Linked DNA regions of Cricetulus griseus. The protein of the gene in region 3 purifies or fractionates together with the protein of the main gene of each other region. This does not show direct contact. Links are inferred from orthologs where the notes say so. Each region holds a gene or a part of one and is shown on either strand. Other genes may lie near its edges.

Evidence for each region. Proteins that work in one complex are often made in the same cells at the same time.
Region 1: the proteins of Rmnd5a (region 3) and Ranbp10 purify together in Homo sapiens (affinity purification with mass spectrometry; 4 studies listed by BioGRID and IntAct, counting the BioPlex papers as one, with this or other methods). This does not show direct contact. The link is inferred for Cricetulus griseus from reciprocal best matches to the Homo sapiens genes RMND5A and RANBP10.
Region 2: the proteins of Rmnd5a (region 3) and Mkln1 purify together in Homo sapiens (affinity purification with mass spectrometry; 4 studies listed by BioGRID and IntAct, counting the BioPlex papers as one, with this or other methods). This does not show direct contact. The link is inferred for Cricetulus griseus from reciprocal best matches to the Homo sapiens genes RMND5A and MKLN1.
Region 4: the proteins of Rmnd5a (region 3) and Ski purify together in Homo sapiens (affinity purification with mass spectrometry; 3 studies listed by BioGRID and IntAct, counting the BioPlex papers as one, with this or other methods). This does not show direct contact. The link is inferred for Cricetulus griseus from reciprocal best matches to the Homo sapiens genes RMND5A and SKI.
Region 5: the proteins of Rmnd5a (region 3) and Gid4 purify together in Homo sapiens (affinity purification with mass spectrometry; 4 studies listed by BioGRID and IntAct, counting the BioPlex papers as one, with this or other methods). This does not show direct contact. The link is inferred for Cricetulus griseus from reciprocal best matches to the Homo sapiens genes RMND5A and GID4.

What each region holds. Positions count from the first base shown.
Region 1 is NC_048596.1:182,048,947-182,052,446, forward strand, and holds part of Ranbp10 (ran-binding protein 10), read right to left. Parts: intron 3,287-3,500; coding exon 3,178-3,286; intron 3,080-3,177; coding exon 2,931-3,079; intron 2,749-2,930; coding exon 2,544-2,748; intron 1,781-2,543; coding exon 1,659-1,780; intron 1,195-1,658; coding exon 1,049-1,194; intron 749-1,048; coding exon 637-748; intron 278-636; coding exon 147-277; 3' UTR 1-146. UniProt on the Homo sapiens protein: May act as an adapter protein to couple membrane receptors to intracellular signaling pathways.
Region 2 is NW_023276806.1:196,392,383-196,395,882, reverse strand, and holds part of Mkln1 (muskelin), read left to right. Parts: intron 1-335; coding exon 336-557; intron 558-3,500. UniProt on the Homo sapiens protein: Component of the CTLH E3 ubiquitin-protein ligase complex that selectively accepts ubiquitin from UBE2H and mediates ubiquitination and subsequent proteasomal degradation of the transcription factor HBP1.
Region 3 is NC_048601.1:63,077,558-63,081,057, reverse strand, and holds part of Rmnd5a (E3 ubiquitin-protein transferase RMND5A), read left to right. Parts: intron 1-914; coding exon 915-1,017; intron 1,018-3,017; coding exon 3,018-3,172; intron 3,173-3,500.
Region 4 is NC_048595.1:1,152,582-1,155,789, forward strand, and holds part of Ski (ski oncogene), read left to right. Parts: intron 1-48; coding exon 49-311; intron 312-436; coding exon 437-729; intron 730-1,903; coding exon 1,904-2,134; intron 2,135-2,614; coding exon 2,615-2,803; 3' UTR 2,804-3,208. UniProt on the Homo sapiens protein: May play a role in terminal differentiation of skeletal muscle cells but not in the determination of cells to the myogenic lineage. Functions as a repressor of TGF-beta signaling.
Region 5 is NC_048600.1:74,560,194-74,563,693, forward strand, and holds part of Gid4 (glucose-induced degradation protein 4 homolog), read left to right. Parts: intron 1-1,695; coding exon 1,696-1,826; intron 1,827-3,500.

The DNA.
Region 1 (3,500 bases), on a different chromosome or scaffold from region 3:
GAGGGAAGAAGGGAGGACCGGCCAGGTAGGAGGAGTGGGATTCTGCCCATGGCTTCTAGGTCTCTGTACCAGGTGCCTATGGAGGGCAGGGTTGTTCCAGCCCTAGGGCTGAAGGATGGCTAGACAGAGCCAGCCAGGAAGGTCAGCTAGTGCAAGTAGTCATCGACTCTGGCAAAAGAGCAAGATCCCAGGCCTGCTCGGGCCATAAGTCGTAGACATTCAGAAGCCTGGCCCAGGGCGAGCATCAGAGGAGGCTGCTTTGGCAGGTTCTGAGACTCTGTGGAGAAGATTACAAGGTATGGTCAATGCCTAGCCAAGGAATTGGGCACAGGTCAAAGTTCCCTAGAGGTTAGAGGTATGGACAGAACTCTTAGAACAGTATTATTGTCTGAGTGTCCTAGACATCAGGCCATGGCCCTGCATTCATGATAGGAACCCGAGGACCTTGGCCTTCTCTAGAGCAAGCTGGTCTGGCCCATGGCCATGAAGTAGCAGCCAACTCAGGTAGGCAGAGGGTGTTAGGGTCAGGTTCCCTGTGAATTGGCCTATGCTAATCTTGATGCTCTTCCTAGGAAGACGGAAGGTGGCCACCCACACACTCATGGGTTAACTTTTGCTTTCATTAGATGTACTTACCTAAAATGGCGCTGTTGAGAGCAGCACACACGGGCTCCCTCTGGATGGGATCAAGCTGATGGCCAACTGGGCAGCTCCAGGGGTCTGAGTATGCTAGTAAGCTAAAGGCATCCTAAGGGACAGAGCACTCGTGAGAGGAATGTAGCATACTATACATAGTCCCATAGCTCCAGAAAAGGACAGAATACTGCATGGGGCCCAGTGAGAGCTCATTATATCTGGACTATAGAGTCAGGCAAAGCTATACCCTCTTTAGGTCTTAGAATGGGTGAAGAACACCCTAAACACCCCACATCCTACTGCAGACATGACTAGAGCCCATTCTGGCCTATTACTACAGCCCCTAGATGTTCCCAGAGCCCCAGCATCAAATGGGGAACTGCTTTGTATGAGGACCTGGCTTATCCTATACCTGCAGCATCTCCGTGTGGGCCAAATTCTTGCCGTACTCTCGGCCCAGTTGCTCACTCAATGCCTGCAACTCTCGGCCAAACAGGATGATCCTTTCTGTGGCAGCCTGGTTGCCCCCGCAGAGCTGCCGCCGTGGATGCCCATCGTCTGCACCCAGAGGCCAGCAGAAAACACATTAGAGGGCGAAGAGGGAAGAACAGGAAGGACACCATGAAGCTACAGCTTCTGCCAAAGGCAGGCAAGGGCTAGGAGACCAAGCAGGTGGAGCAGCTAAGTCCAGCTGGCATATAGACTAGAAGTGGTACAAGACTTGGCAACTTCCCTCATCCCACCCTGCACAAATGCATGTTACTAATGAGGTCCACATTCTTGTACTCTCTTTAGCCTTGAAGGGGTCTTGGCAGCGAGCATGGACCTTCTTACACACTGGAAGCCACCTCAATGATGCATCCAGGAATGACTAAGAAAGTGGTGGATTCAGTCCAGCTGCAGTTTCTCAAGCTGCCAGAGCCTGCCATCTTAGCCCCTCTTAGGAGGAAATGGGCATTAGGACTGTATGTTGCCCTCTCAAGGAACATAGGGGCTGGGTCATACTAAGGAACAACACTTACCCATGCTGGACTCATCTGTCTGCAGGTCTTCATGCTTGTAGGCACCATTGACTATGCGCGTGGATATGCTCTCCAACACACCGTTAGGATAATGTTCTGCCTCCATCTCCATTTCACTGTCACTGTAGAGAAGAGTTGAGATAAGAGTTGGGCCTCTATCCAGGTTTTGTTTACCATCACTTCATGTAAACTGAAGGAGTTTACCTGAGGGACTATAATGGCTCCTATGATGGCATCAAACTGAAGGACTGTCAGGAACACAAAAGGATAGCCCAAGCTTTCTAGGCTCCAAAACTTAGCGCCTACTACAGTTATCTCCAGGTGCCTGTTACATGATTCCTATTCTTGTCCCAAAGCTGCCCCTGTGACTCTTCTCAGTAGCTCTCTGAGTTGACACACCTCTTTAATATATATCCCACTTGTCCCTACCAACTCAACTGATTGGGGCCTTGTCAGGACCCAAACCAAGGTTAGCTTTTAGGCATGCCTAGAACCTGCTAAGAGCCATCTGGAGCTTCTGCCTACAGCCCAGATCACCTGGCTGCCCATGAGCCTGATTTCATAAAAACTGCTTAACTGTAGACCCTTGAGGTTCTAATAGGCCTAGCCTCCTTGGAGAAGGAGTCCCTGCGTTCTCAAGTCTGGCAGGGTCAGCATCTCCAGACAAAACCAGAGCCAAGGAAATTGACAGCTATATCTTGAATGGGGACAGAACCCAGAACCAGTGTTTGGCTTGACCTTTCAATGGATTGAAATCCAGGCAAGACCTACAAAAGAGGTGAGGGTAAAGGGCAGAAGATAGCATTTAAAAGAAGACACTACCCAGTGGCAGGTCCAGCGGGAAGAGAACAGAAGCAGAGGGAGAGAGAGGAGCAAGACAGGCACCTGGTCTCCTGGTTACTGGCACTGCTGTGGGGCTGGGACTTGGTGGAGTCTGTTGAGTTGGACTCGGAGTAATTGATGGAGGACGGGGAAGAGGAGGACGAGGAGGACGAGGATGAGGAGGAGGAGCTGGGTGCGGGGTATTTACTGTGGTTCTGTTTGTTCTTGGTAGATGCAATGCCATTGCTGCAGCTGGGACTGTCTGCTCCTAGAAGCCAGGTGGGTCAGAGAAGGGTGGTCAGAAGTGGGGCCCCAGGAATTGCCACAGTAGTCCTTTCCCTTCTACCCAGTCCAGCAGCCAGTCCTAAGCCCACCACAATGAAAGGTAGGTAGGTGGCCATTCTTCTCCACACCAGCTCTTCCCAGAGACTCTGGAGAATGGCCACCCACCTGTGTTGTGCATGTGGGAACTACTAGGGCCATGTCGGGGGCTGAGGCTGGGGGAGCCAGGGTAGCTGTCCTGGGACTTGGGGCTTCGGGAGCTCAAACTTCGGACTTCACTGTCGGTGCCATTCACCATCTCCACAAACTGTCGACACCTGTGAAGGGAGCAGAGCATTGATGCTCTAGGCTGGCCCAGGGTGTGGGCTCCTGTTGCAAGCTGAGGGCCAGGCTCTGGTACCATAACCTGACTTACTTGAGCATGAAGAGCAGGTTGGGGTTGTGCTCCAGCAGCCCAGGGTAGAAGCGCTGGGTCGTTTCAATGGCTTCACCCACCCGGCCTTCAAGCACCAGCTTCTGGATTTCTGTAGAGAAGAGCATGGCTGTGAGTAAGGGCTGAGATCCCCTCCATATCCCTGGCCAGAAGTCAGGTGGGCTGGCTCTTGGCATGCTGCTAGCTGGAGGAGCTCACAGAAAAGACTGAGGGAACCCGGTTGCCCAGGACCACAGCAGAGGCTGGTTTTGGTCAGCTGTCATGGAGTCATCAAGAATATGAGGGGAGAACAAAAAAAGCTCACA
Region 2 (3,500 bases), on a different chromosome or scaffold from region 3:
GATCGGTATGCAGGGTTAGTAAGACCCAATATGCCATGACTCATTGCTGGCTCTGGTTAAATCTTGTAGCATGGCATCAAGAAAGCAAAGTTCCTTAACTCAGTATATTCATTTTAATTGGAGTAAATGAAAATTGAAAAGGTGTTTAGAAAGCTATCCTGAATTTCTGAACAGTATTACAATATGTGTGTATAATAATTAAGAGATGTACTTAGCATCATTAAGAGCAAAGTTCAGGGTTTCTTTGAGAATGTGAAACCATACATACTGATCCCATTTTGGCACATCCGAAGGAACAAACTAAAACTGTTCAATCTGTTGCCTTGTTCTCGTAGATGTGTATGGATTCAGAAAAACATATGATCTACACCTTCGGTGGTAGAATTTTGACATGTAATGGCAGTGTAGATGACAGCAGAGCCAGTGAACCACAATTCAGTGGCTTGTTTGCATTCAACTGCCAGTGTCAAACCTGGAAGCTTCTTCGAGAAGACTCCTGTAATGCTGGCCCTGAGGACATCCAGTCTCGAATTGGACACTGCATGCTGTTCCACTCAGTAAGAATATTCTGTACATTGTGTTATTTTGTCATGTGTATCTTTATAGGAGAGATTAGTAAAAAAGCAAAGCTTTCGCTAGAAATAAATGATTAATACAGCAGTGAAAGAGAAAATAGAACTGCCATTTAGTCATTTCCATCAAGTTAGAAACTAACTCCTAAGTGATTATTACCTGAAGATAGAGGTAGGTGCTTTTATTACTGACTTTACTGGTTACCTAGCTGTCGTATAATTAGCTCTTTTTTAGGACTTAACCATTAGTGAACATTTCTTAGTAGTTAGATGGATAATTTTGAATTATTTTTCCTGATGCTACTCTCAATTAAGTACAGATTGGTTTTATAGAATTAGAACAAGAGTTTACTAACAAAAACAACAAAAAGAGTTCTCCTTTTGAAGCAGGTAATCCTTCTTTGTGTGAACAAAGTATTAGACCATATGTTATTCAACATGCATATTTTAAAAATATTCTTTATATGAAGTGCAAAGAAGGAGATAATAGTGAATTTCTGAGAACATATGTCTTTCAGTTTGATCAGTAAACAATCTGTCTGTTTTTAGTGTATCTCTCCTACTTTAATTACATTCCTGTCACTTTTAGAGCTTTTTACATTTTATTATGTTGGGAATATTTTTCAGGAAGACCTCAGTTAGGATGTCTTTATTTAGCAGGTCCTTCATATCTGTGGACTATGCATCCACAGATTTAAACAATCATGGATTAAAAATACTATTAAAATTTTTTTTATCTCTACTGAACATGTATAGACTTTTAAAAAAACTTTATTTGCTAAACAACTGCTCTCGTGTCCTACAGTTTATACTAGATATTAAAAATAATGTACAGATGATTTAAAGTACATAAGAGGATATGTATATGTTATTTGCAAATCCTAAGGGATTTGGGGGTCACCTGTACTGATACTGAGGGACAATTGCACCTACAATGATAGCACTCTTAAAAAATGGTATTACCATTATCATATCCGTCACAATGAAAGCAGTTTGTAATATTATAGAATGCCTGGTCTGCACTTATGCTGTTCTGATGGCCTGAATAACAGCTTTCCAGAACTGGTTTGTTCAGGTTGGGATCCCAAATACACCTACCTGGGTACTGCCGCAGAATGTCCTTCTTTTCTCCGTGTACATTCTACTCACTCTGGTTTTTAAAAATCAGAATTATTGTAATCTACAATGTTTCCCATTCTCACTTGACTGATTGTATCTTCATTGCATTATTTAATGTGTTTCTCTGTCGTATTTTCTATAAACTAGTCATTTCTACCTGAAGGCTTGATTTATAGTTGCTGTCCTTTCACAGGGAGGCCAGGAAGAAACACAACAACACTTCACCAGTATTCTGATCATAGGATATCAAGAGGCATTTAATGTTGTTGTTTATGTTTTTGATAAATGTTAGTGAGTTTAGGAATTATTAGTTTGGTTGATCAATTATGAAATTTCCTATAATCTTTACCTATTGATATTCATTGGGTATTCATTGTCTAGATTTCATTAGCTATCACAAAATAGTGATTTTTCTGATGTTGTTTCTTCTGCATTATTAAGTGTAATTCTACTTTTGTTTTTTTGTTTTTTAAAAAGAACAACAAAACATCTTTATATCATGAGTTGTTTGGTTACTCTAAAATGAAACCATCTAATTCTTGGGCCAGGCCTGGTGATGCACACCTGTGATCCCAGCACTTTGGTGACTAAGGCAGGCAGACCATGAGTTTGAGGTCAACCTGGGCTGCACACAGCAAGTTCGAGGCCAGCCAGGAACACATAGAAAAACCCTATCTTAAAAAAAGAAAAAGAACTAAACCACTGGGTGTGGTAGTGCATGCCTTTAATATAAACAGAGACAGTGGGAATCTCTTTGTTTTTGAGGCCACCCTGGTCTACATAGTGAGTTCCGAGTCAGTCAGAGCTATGTAGTAAGACTTTGTCTCAAATAAATAAATCTAAGTGAATTAATGGATGTATGATTTGTTTATTTGCATGTTAATGAATTCAGTTTCCAAAGTTAACCAGTGAGGTAGAAAAAAACATTGTAATTATGAGCTCATGAATTTTTATATGCATGATATTTTAAATTCAGTGCTGTCAGTTTTTCGGGTTTTTTTTTGTTTTTGTTTTTTTAATCTATCTTTGACCAGTAGGAGCCTCCCCTTTATCCATATATACACATTTATCTTTTGATAAAACAAAGGACAAGTCGTGAGTTCTCACTGATAAACCAATTCAAATTATTTTTTTCCCTTTTACTTAGTGACTTTGATTTTTGTACTTGTATATCTTTTAAGGTTAAAAATCTTATTTCATGTTGTATTACTTGTTTCATCTGTGAAAATTTTCCAGTTGTCAAAGCTAGCAACAAAATCACTAGTGTTTCCAAAATTAAAATTGCTTTCTGGTGAATTTTTAATTTAAGACTTAGGCCATAAGAATGCATTATTAAAAAAAAACTGAATTAAAAATAAGTATAATACTTCTGAGTGTGGTTAGAATTCTGTGTGTACATAAAGTTGTAGCTTTATATATAGATTTTTTTCATTTTTGTTTCTGTTTTTAAATTTAACATTCTAATAAAAGCATGCATGTGGTTATAAACTAAGTCAAGGTACTTTTAGATAACTCTGTTTATTATTTTAGGTATAAGAAGGAGTTACGTTTCTTATGGGTGGCTGTACTTCATTGTGTCTTCATTTATCCAAACACATTTCTTGCTTGCCCACTCATGCTCACTTATGCTCCCTTGTAGTCATACAAAAGACAATAACTTTGCTATTTGGCTTTAGTAGGTAGTGTGCCATGCCTCAGCAATGCTTTTGGTAGTGTGGAGAGAGCTGCCTTTCTCTCTTCCTCTTCATTCTAGCAAAGGAGTGTTGTATGGGATCTCTCATGAAGCTGCTGCTATAGAGATGTAAAGTT
Region 3 (3,500 bases):
TGATCCACCTGCCTCTGCCTCCCGAGTACTGGGATTAAAGGCGTGAGCCACCAATGTCCCGCTAGTACGTTTTAATTTTTAACATTAGGTTATGTAATCCACAGAACCAAAACCACAGTTACTCACATTTTGGATTTGACAGTTATTTTTCCAAGTGGTTGACGGAAGCTAAGGAAACAAGTGATGCCAAATAAGTGTTTCTTTTGACATAATGATAAAGGTTAAAAATTTAGGCTAAAGTTGAAATTTTGGGTATGAGCTTGTAAAGTCTTTTCTGATGAGTTTGGTGATGGGATTGTAGATTTTTCTATATTGTAAACTGGAGGGAAACTTTGGAAGGTGTAATTCATATAACCTTACCTAGTCATACTCATAGAGAAGAGACTCAGAAATACTCTTTCCCTTTAAATGTGAAGAAGGACAGTCCGCTGTGCTTGGAGGCAGGCATCAGTCAGCACTTTAGTGCCCTGCTTTCTGAAGGAGGTGACTGGGGGGTGGGGGCGTTCATGCTTCTCATGGTGGCTCCTCCCTTTCGGCACCAATGTCAGTGCTGACCCTCTTCTGATAGGGCAGAACCAGCTACTATTTTTTTTAATTGCTGAGGAATTAAATGAAAATTAAACCATCCAATCAGAAAATGGTCTTTTTAACGATTGTTCTTTTTTTCTTTTTCTTTCTTTCTTTTTTTTTTCCCCATTTCTGCCATACTGGCTAAGCTTATGTGGTAGCATTAGGGTTTTATGTTTTGTTTGTAAAGGGTTTAGTAACTACAGGAAATATAGCTGAGGGCTGGGAGCAGAAGGATTGGGGGAGAAAATCAGTTCATTTTACTTTCAGAGGAAACAGCTGCCTGGCTCTTTGCTTTGGGGTTGGCACCCTTGGAGTTGGCCCTGATGCTTCTCTTTTGTCCTCAGTTTCTCGGCAGGTTGTGTGGCACTGCCAGCACTAATCAACATCAAAGCTGTTATTGAACAGAGGCAGTGTACTGGAGTCTGGAACCAGAAAGACGAATTACCTGTGAGTTCTATTGTTTGTTTTCCCTTCCCACCTTAGAAATTGGGTGTTTTGCTGGGCAGTGGTGGTGCACGCCTTTGATCCCAGTGCTTGGGAGGCAGAGGCGGATGAATCTCTGTGAGTTCAAGTCCAACCTGGTCTACAGAGCGAGTTCCAGGACAGGTTCCAAAGCTACACAGGGAAACCCTGTCCTGTAAAACAAAAAAAAAAAAAGAGGAGGAGGAGGAGGAGGAGGGAAGGAAGGAAGAAGAAAGAAAATGGATGTTTTAAGAGTTAAAATGCTCATCATGCCATTTAATCAGAAAACACTATTGTACCCATTTAACGGGTTTGGTTTTAATGCACATAACATGAGTAAAAAATAAGGTTGGGAGTATAGTTTTGGGTCCAACACCACTCTAAAAAGGAAACAAATCAGTTAACTAATTAAAATAGACCTGAGGGAGTGATGGCACACACTAATTCCAGCACTCAGGAAGCAAAAGTAGGCAGATCTTTGAGTTTGAGACCAGCCTGGCCTACATAGTGAGTTCCGTAAGCAGGTGCCCAGCTTGGGCAATTTTATTTACTGTCTGTGAGCATCTTTGAAATTTGCACACTGAAGTAGAGCAATCAGTAGGATCCAACTGACAGTGTGTATTGGGGGCTAGGAAAGCAACAGGAGGTAGTGGCTGGTAATCCTTCCTCAGGATTACTTTGATGTGCTTTGGCTTTTGTCCTCCTGTTTTTGTTTTTAAAGATGCTCTTACTATGTGTCTCATTTAGTTTCCTCTGGGTTTGTAGGTCTGTTCCACCATTTTTGTGGTAGTGTAGTTTGGACTCAGATCCCTGTGAATACATCTCCTACGCTTTGTCAATTTTCCTTAAAGAACCTTTTATTTTTGTTTATTTTTTGAATCAGTGTTTCACTGTGTATCCCTGGCTGGCATGGAACTCCATGAATAGATCAGGCTTGGCCTCAAGCTCAGATTTCCTTTCTCTGCTGGGATTAAAGGTGCCACCACACCTGGCAGTGAAGTTCTTGTAGAACTATAGCTGTTGCAGATTGAGAAGGAAGGGAAACAATGTGTGTGTTGAGGTTCTGGGGTGAAGCAGCTGCTCTGCTATATGACTTCAAGCTTTTATATAATTAGATATGTTTGTGGCAAAAATATAATGGTGATAGCATGCCATGAGCTTTAGTGTACAAATCACAAAAGATCCTGTTGAGATTTGGCTCAAGCAGATACTGGTGGTACAAGCTTGTAATTCCAGGCACTTGGAAGGCTAAGGCAAGGGCATCACAAGTTCAAGGCCTGCCTAGACAACTTATGAGATCCTATCTCAATAAGCAAAAAAAAAAAAAAAAAAAGCATGTGCATAAGGGATAGGATTGGGGTGCTGGCTTCAAGCTGCCTAGCCACATGCAAAGCCCTACATTGGGTTCCCACCACTGCAAAATAAGAAAAGAGAAAGGGGGGGGGCACAAAACTTGGCTTACCTCCCTGTTTCAGGTTTTCTCTGGACCACTTCACACAAATGACATAGGAAACTCAGACCTAAAGTTCATACAGAAGATAACTATATTTAGGCTGTGCTTGGAGGAGTTGTTTCACTGAGTTTATCACCTAACCGAGTGCTGCCTACAGGGCAGTCAGGATATCTGGTGGTTTTGCCTTTGATATATATGTTCTAATAAATTTTCAAGGTGTTTAGGCTGGGGATGTGGCTTAGTGGTGGTCACTTGTGGTCTAGGCTGTGAGTTTGCTGCCTGATACCACCAACAAAAAAGTATTGGTTTCTGAAGCATGGTATCTGATTCCTTCAGACCCCAAAATCTGGTTTACAAAGTAGTAGTGTAGTTTTGCAGACCAGTTTAACTCAACTTTGAATCTTAAGACTTCCCTTTCTTTAAGACAGTTCCCCTAGAGTCACTCCAAACATGTTCTTGCTGCACCGTGCACAGGTGTCTGGAGCGTTTTCAGGGTTTCACGAGCCTTTCTACATTTTTCTTTTCTGAACAGATTGAAGTGGACCTTGGTAAGAAGTGCTGGTATCACTCCATATTTGCCTGCCCCATTCTTCGTCAGCAAACAACAGATAACAATCCACCCATGAAATTGGTTTGTGGTCATATTATATCAAGAGATGCCCTGAATAAAATGTTTAATGGTAGCAAGTAAGTGTCTGATTTCTTAACATTAAATAAACCTTCTTGTGTAAAGATAAGATGTAATAAGGATACATGAATGAAGCTAGAGTTATGTAGTTATTTACTTATTTGATTCTTTGAGACAAGGTTTCTCTGTGTAGCCCTGGCTGATCTGTAGACCAGGCCAGCATCAAACTCAGACTTGTGTCTGTCCCTGCTTCCCAAGTGTTGGCATTAAAGGTGTACAGCACCATGCTCAGCCCATAATTAGATTTAGAAAGTAGTTTCTTAACTATTTATCAAAAGTGGATAACATCTAATCTCTTTTGTTAGTTTAATCTGCTCAAGGATTTGG
Region 4 (3,208 bases), on a different chromosome or scaffold from region 3:
GACTTGTGAGACAGATGTGCCCTGGCTAAGCATCTCTGCCTCCTACAGCTTTTACTCCTACAAGAGCTTTGAGACAGCTGTGGCCCCCAATGTGGCCCTAGCACCACCAACCCAGCAAAAGGTTGTGAACAGTCCACCATGCACCACCGTGGTCTCCCGGGCACCAGAACCTCTCACCACTTGTATCCAGCCACGGAAGCGGAAGCTGACCATGGAAACACCAGGAGCCCCAGATATGCTGACATCCGTGGCTGCCCCTGAGGAGGACAAGGATTCTGAGGCTGAGGTGGAAGTTGAAAGCAGAGAGGAATGTAAGTATGGATTGGACTCCGTTCCTTTGGGTATCAATACAGGGGATGGGTAGGGTGGGGCAGGTGTGACCAGGCCAGTGTACTCCACAGCACTAATGCTCTGGTTTCTCTGTCTCTGTCCTCAGTCACCTCCTCCTTGTCCTCGCTGTCCTCTCCGTCCTTTACCTCGTCCAGCTCTGCCAAGGACCTGAGCTCCCCAGGCATGCACGCTCAACCTGTGGCTGGCCCCGATGCTACAGTCCATGCTGATGCCCCAAGCGGGCTGGAGGCAGAGCTGGAGCATCTGCGGCAAGCCCTGGAGGGTGGCCTGGATACCAAGGAAGCCAAAGAGAAGTTCCTACATGAGGTGGTCAAAATGCGTGTGAAGCAAGAGGAGAAGCTGACAGCAGCCCTACAGGCTAAGCGCAGCCTGCACCAGGTAAGCCGGGCAGCAGGCAGGACCATGAAATACAGGAGACAGCCTCCCTCTTGGGCTGCCCAAGCCCTCTTCCCAGGTCCTCTGGAGGACCCAGCCCTCTGAGGCACTTTGATGTCCAGAGTCCTTCTGTGCTCACATAGTGGTCTCAGCTGCAGCTTCCCCTATGTGTGGGCCTCACTGAAAGAACTGGCCTGTTTTCTTGGCCATGGTAAAGGCCAGTGTTAATGGTGAGTGAGGAGTAGCTGAACTAGTGATGCCTCTCTCTCTGTGCCAGGGTCTGGTTTATTCTCTACTAGCAAGACTTGTGCTCTGCAAATAGAGTGCATGGATGACTTCTGAAGCTGTCTCTCCAAAGGGGACTTAGCAGCAGGCTGTGGGGAATAGATGCTTAGGAGGTGTGCTTGTACTTACACACTGCTTACTGGCTGTTTGTCTGGGCCCCACCTCACTGTTTCCTAGGCAGTAGCCATTCCTCTTATACCTTGTTTTCATGCTGTTTTGTTTTTCTGACATGCATAAGGGAGGGCCAGTTCTTGGGCAGCCTGGGAAGATTGAGGAACTCAGCTGTGTTGGTCTTCACCAGGGCTCAGCATTAAGGCTTTGCTGTAGGCTCAACCTCTGCTGAATTCACACCTCAGCCTGAGTCTGGCAGCTCTGGGTGCAGCCTCACATGTGTGGGCTTTAGCACAACACAACCTTGTCAATCCTCAGGGCTGCAGGATTTCAGATGTTCTCCTCTGAGTGAGTCTTAGTCATTCCCTCATCCTCTCTTGCCCCCATTCTGGGTGGAGGTGTTATTTCCCACATGGGGAAACCATGGGGGACGGGTGTCATGCTGCATTCTAACAAGTGGGGCAAGAGCAAAGGAAGCACCAAAAGGAAATGGCTCCATCTGGCTGGGGGGTCACCTCCGGGCCTCAGATGCACAGGTATCTGACGCTGTCTACCTGGTGGTTTCCTCCCCTACCCATGAGGCATGGCAGGTGCGTTTCTGAGGTGGAAGAGTGTGAGACGGTTCTGCTGCAACCTTGATATAAGCAACCAACAGCTAGTAAGCGTTCTGCCCTGTAGGGAAGGGAGATAGCAGTCAGGTCAATAGACTGGGGTGCAGGGTGGGCACAAAGGTGCTGGGTTGGCAATACCTTGAACCTGTCTGCTACATGTGTCCTCCCAGGAGCTAGAATTCTTGCGTGTGGCCAAGAAGGAGAAACTGCGGGAAGCCACAGAGGCCAAGCGCAGTTTGAGGAAAGAGATCGAGCGTCTCCGAGCTGAAAATGAAAAGAAAATGAAAGAGGCCAATGAGTCTCGGGTGCGCCTGAAGCGAGAGTTGGAGCAGGCACGGCAGGTCCGGGTGTGTGACAAGGGCTGTGAGGCCGGCCGTCTGCGTGCCAAGTACTCAGCCCAGGTACTAGGGTGGGTTGGTTGGTACACTGACATGCACAGTGAATAGCTACTCTCACAGACTCAACATCCGTGATGTAACCATTCAGGCTGGATCTGTGATCATGTGCCATGCCTGGAGACCCTGAGGTGTATCCAGCAGACGTGGGCTTGGGTGTTAGGGACTGTTTTCCATAGCCAGGGTTGGAAGTCCAGGTGGCCCCAGAACTGGGAAGCAAGTTCTAAGTTAGGATCAGGAGATGGGCCTTGGTAACTGCAGAGGGGCAGCTTCCAAAGCTTAGGACTCACACCCAGAGGGGCAGGGAAGGTCTTCTACATCTGTAATGCTGTTTGGTTCCCTCTTGGGTACTTCAGAAAGGAGGCTCTTCCAAGCCTGGGCATCTGGGCGTTTGGGGGCAGACATGGCACCAAGGGCTCAGTAGGAACTCAAGGGAGTGGTAAGTGCTAGTGTTAGGCACTACTGACCACTCAGCATCCCTTTCAGATTGAGGACCTGCAAGCGAAACTGCAGCATGCAGAGGCCGACCGAGAGCAGCTTCGAGCTGACCTGCTGAGGGAGCGTGAGGCCCGTGAGCACCTGGAGAAGGTGGTGAAGGAGCTTCAGGAGCAGCTGTGGCCTCGGCCACGGCCTGAGAACGTGGGTGGCGAGGGCAGTGCTGAGCTGGATCCCTAGCCTGGGCAGTGCCTGCCACTGCCACATGGACCTCCATGCGTGCGCAGAGGGCGGCGGGTATGTGGCTCTGCGGGCCCAGCCCATGCCCCTGCAGCCACACAGCACAACGTCTCTACTGTGCCTATTACCAAGCGAGTGTTTGTAACCACATACTTTTGGAATCCACTGCAAAATTTTCTACTGGCCAAGTTCAAGTGAGCAAGCCATGTCCCCCAGCTGCACCCAGAGTTGAGGCTGGCTCTGTGGCTTGTAGCTGGTCCTCTGCTTGCTAGAACATTCTAACATTTACACTTTTGTTATAAGCTATTTAAAACCAGTACGGAGACTTGATATTCAGAAAATCAACATGTTTTTTAATGACTGACTGTAAAAGGCCCCTACACGTGACGCCATCTGGACACCCAC
Region 5 (3,500 bases), on a different chromosome or scaffold from region 3:
CGCACACCTTTAATCCCAGCACTTGGGAGGCAGAGGTAGGTGGATCTCTGTGAGTTCGAGGCCAGCCTGGTCTATAGAACGAGTTCCTGGACAGCCTCCAAAGCAATACAGAGAAACCCTGTCTCGAAAAACCAAAAGAAGAAAGGAAGCTGCTTGAATATGATACAGTTTCATGAAGACTAAAGTGGTCGCTTGCTGTCTGTGCTTTGTGTGACTGATCATTTGGGAAGTAGAATAGCATTTCTTCACTTGACAGTTGCAGGAGAGCACACAGTGAGCTTCCCTCTCTAGCCCCATCTGCCATCCAGTATATACTGAGCCTCCATCTCCATCCCACTCTGCTATCCAGTACATACTGAGCTTCCCTCTCTAGCCCACACTAGCACATACTGAGGCTCCCTCCCCAGCCTGCCGTTCAGTGGGAAATATGCCATCTAATCCTTTAAAGAACTTGTACTGATGTTTAGATTAATTTTATTCCAGTGCTGAGGCTGTAACTCAGGCTTTGCACATATTAGGCAAGTGTTTTACCACTGAGCTAGATCTTAGACCTAAATTAAACTTTAAAATGGTATTTTGAAGCCGGGCGTTGGTGGTGAACGCCTTTAATCCCAGCATTCAGGAGGCAGAGGCAGGCAGATCTCTGTGAGTTTGAGGCCAGCCTGGTCTCCAGAGTGAGTGCCAGGATAGGCTGCAAAGCTACACAGAGAAACCCTGTCTTGAAAAACCAAAATAAATAAATAAATAAATAAATAATGAAAATGGGGGCTGGAAAGATGGCTCAGTGGTTAAGAGCACTGACTGCTCTTCCAGAGGTCCTGAGTTCAATTCCAGGCAACCACATGGTGGCTTACAACCACCTTGAATGAGATCTTGTGCCCTCTGCTGGCATGGCAGGCAGAAGACTGCATACATAATAAATAAATAAAATCCCTAAAAAATAAATAGATAGATAGATAGATAGATAGATAGATAGATAGATAGATAGATAAAAAATGGTATTTTGAAGTTTGAATGAGGCAGAAAAGAGAATCCATTTAAAAAGAAAAAAGTTGGAGAAGGAGAAGGGTTGGGAGTATAGTTTATGGTAGAGCATTTGTCTAGCAAAGTCCTGGGTTTCATCCCAGCATTGGAAAGTAAATGAAAACAGTTAAAGCAGTGGAGTTGTCTCCAAACAATTTCTTTTAGAGTAACTCACATTGTATTTTGGTTTCCCTGAAGCCCTGGGGCTTCTGACCCCATCTTGTGGAGAACAGGAGTCTTTCACAAATGGCAGGTCACCTGTCTCTGTAGTGTGTTCTTATGACTTTGACCAGGGTAGAGCTTTAGTGAGATGTCACAGGGACTCTCACCTCAGAATGACCACAGGCTGCAATAGATGTGACTCAGAGGTAATCAGAACCCAGTGACAGTTCCTGAAAACCAGACTGAATCGATTCCTAGGTGATTCTGTCAAGCGGTCTCCAAGAGGTAAGTAGACAAGAAAGTCATATTGTTTGGTCTGTTAGATCTCCAGCAATGATCCCTCCTCTGAGTTGCTGGTCCTGTGTGCACAGAAAGGTAGGTAGGATACTGTAGTAACATATATGAACACCACCCCAAAACCAGGCAGAGACCTTTTTTCTAGCCATCTTTAGAACCTTCTGGTGTCTTACTGAAAGGGAAGGTATTGACTGATCTCATATCTATGTGTAGGAGCAGTTCCTGGTCCCGGACCACACAATCAAAGACATCAGTGGTGCTTCCTTTGCTGGTTTCTATTACATCTGCTTTCAGAAGTCAGCAGCCTCCATAGAGGGCTACTACTATCATCGGAGTTCAGAATGGTAAGGATCTCAAGGCTGGTGCTGCAGCAAAAGTTGCCATCAACTCCAGCCATCACATCTGAAAGAGATTCTCTCAGTCTACCTCTGTCCAAATTCCATACTCTGTGTTTGTACTGAGGCCATTTAGATGACCTCACATAGAACAGGGACTCCTCCTTACCTATAGAGTAAAGTAATGAAATAAAAGTAGATATTATGGTCAGGCAGTGGTGGCACATGCCTTTGATCCCAGCACTCAGGAGGCAGAGGCAGGTGGATCTCTGTAAGTTTGAGACCAGCCTGGTCTACAAGAGCTAGTTCCAGGACAGCCTCCAAAGCCACAGAGAAACCCTGTCTCAGAAAAAAAAAAAAGAAAAAAGAAAAAAAAAAGTGGCTATTATGTAAAGATATAATTTCTAAATACTGTTAAATTTATAAGCCTTTTTATTTAAGGCATGAATGTTTTTCCTGCTTGTATATATGTATAGCACATGTGTACCTGGTGCCTGTAGAGATCAGAAGAGGGCATTGAATCCTCAGGAACTAGAGTTATGATTGGTTGTGAGCCACTGTGTGGATGCTGAGAACCAAACTTGGATTTTCTGCAAGGCCAACAAGAACTCTTAACCACTAAACCATCTCTCTAGTCTTATTTCTAAATGTGTATGTGTGTGTGAGAGAGAGAGAGACAGGTGTGCGCGCGCACACACACATACACACACACACACACACACACACACACACACACACACGAGACACTAACTTATGTGTGTTATGTGGGTAGAACCTAGTACCTTGTACATACTAGGTAAGTGGTCTACCACTAAGCAACACCCAGTATATAATTTTAGGTAGTCTTTCATTTTCAGGAATGCTTGCCTCAATCCTATTCATTTCATATTTACTCCTCATGAATTTAGCAGTAACTCTAATGTAATCTCTTATAGACAGTGTGACCTTCGAAGTTACCAGCTGGCACTGCCTGTCATGCACTTGATCTTGGTCTGTTGAGCTAGGGGCCATGAAAGTTCATCTCCCTGCCTTATGTTCCTCCAAGGCTATGGTGAGAAGGCCACCGCAAGTGATGGCTTTTGCCATCTTTTAAAGGACTCTTGTGCCTCCTTGCTATACAGTGAGGACTAGCTACACCAGGAAGCACCTTATTTCTTTTCTGAAAGTGGAACACTTGGGATGAAGAGGTGGCACAGCAGTTAGGAGTACTTCATGTTCTTCCAGGGAACCCAGATTCAGATCCTAGCACTCACATGGCAGCTTACAACTGCCTGTATAATGCTAGTTCCAAGGAATCTAATGCCCTTTTATTCCGAGTACCTTCACATATGTAGTGCACATAAATTCACACAGGCTCACACACATAAATAAAAAGTTAAATAGAATTTTAAAAAGGGGGGGGGCAGTAATGGTGCATACCTTTAATCCCAGCACTTAGAAGGCAGAGGCAAGCAGATTTCTGTGAGTTCAAGACCAGCCTGGTCTACAAAGTAAGTCCCGGTACTGTTACACAGAGAAACCCTGTCTCAAAAAAACAAGCAAACAAACAAAAAAATAAAGGTTAAAAAATAAAATGGATGGGGCTAGAGAGATGGCTCAGAGGTTAAGAGCACTGACTGCTTTTCCAGAGGTCCTGAGTTCGGTTCCCAGCAGCCACATGGTGGCTCACAACCATCCGTTATG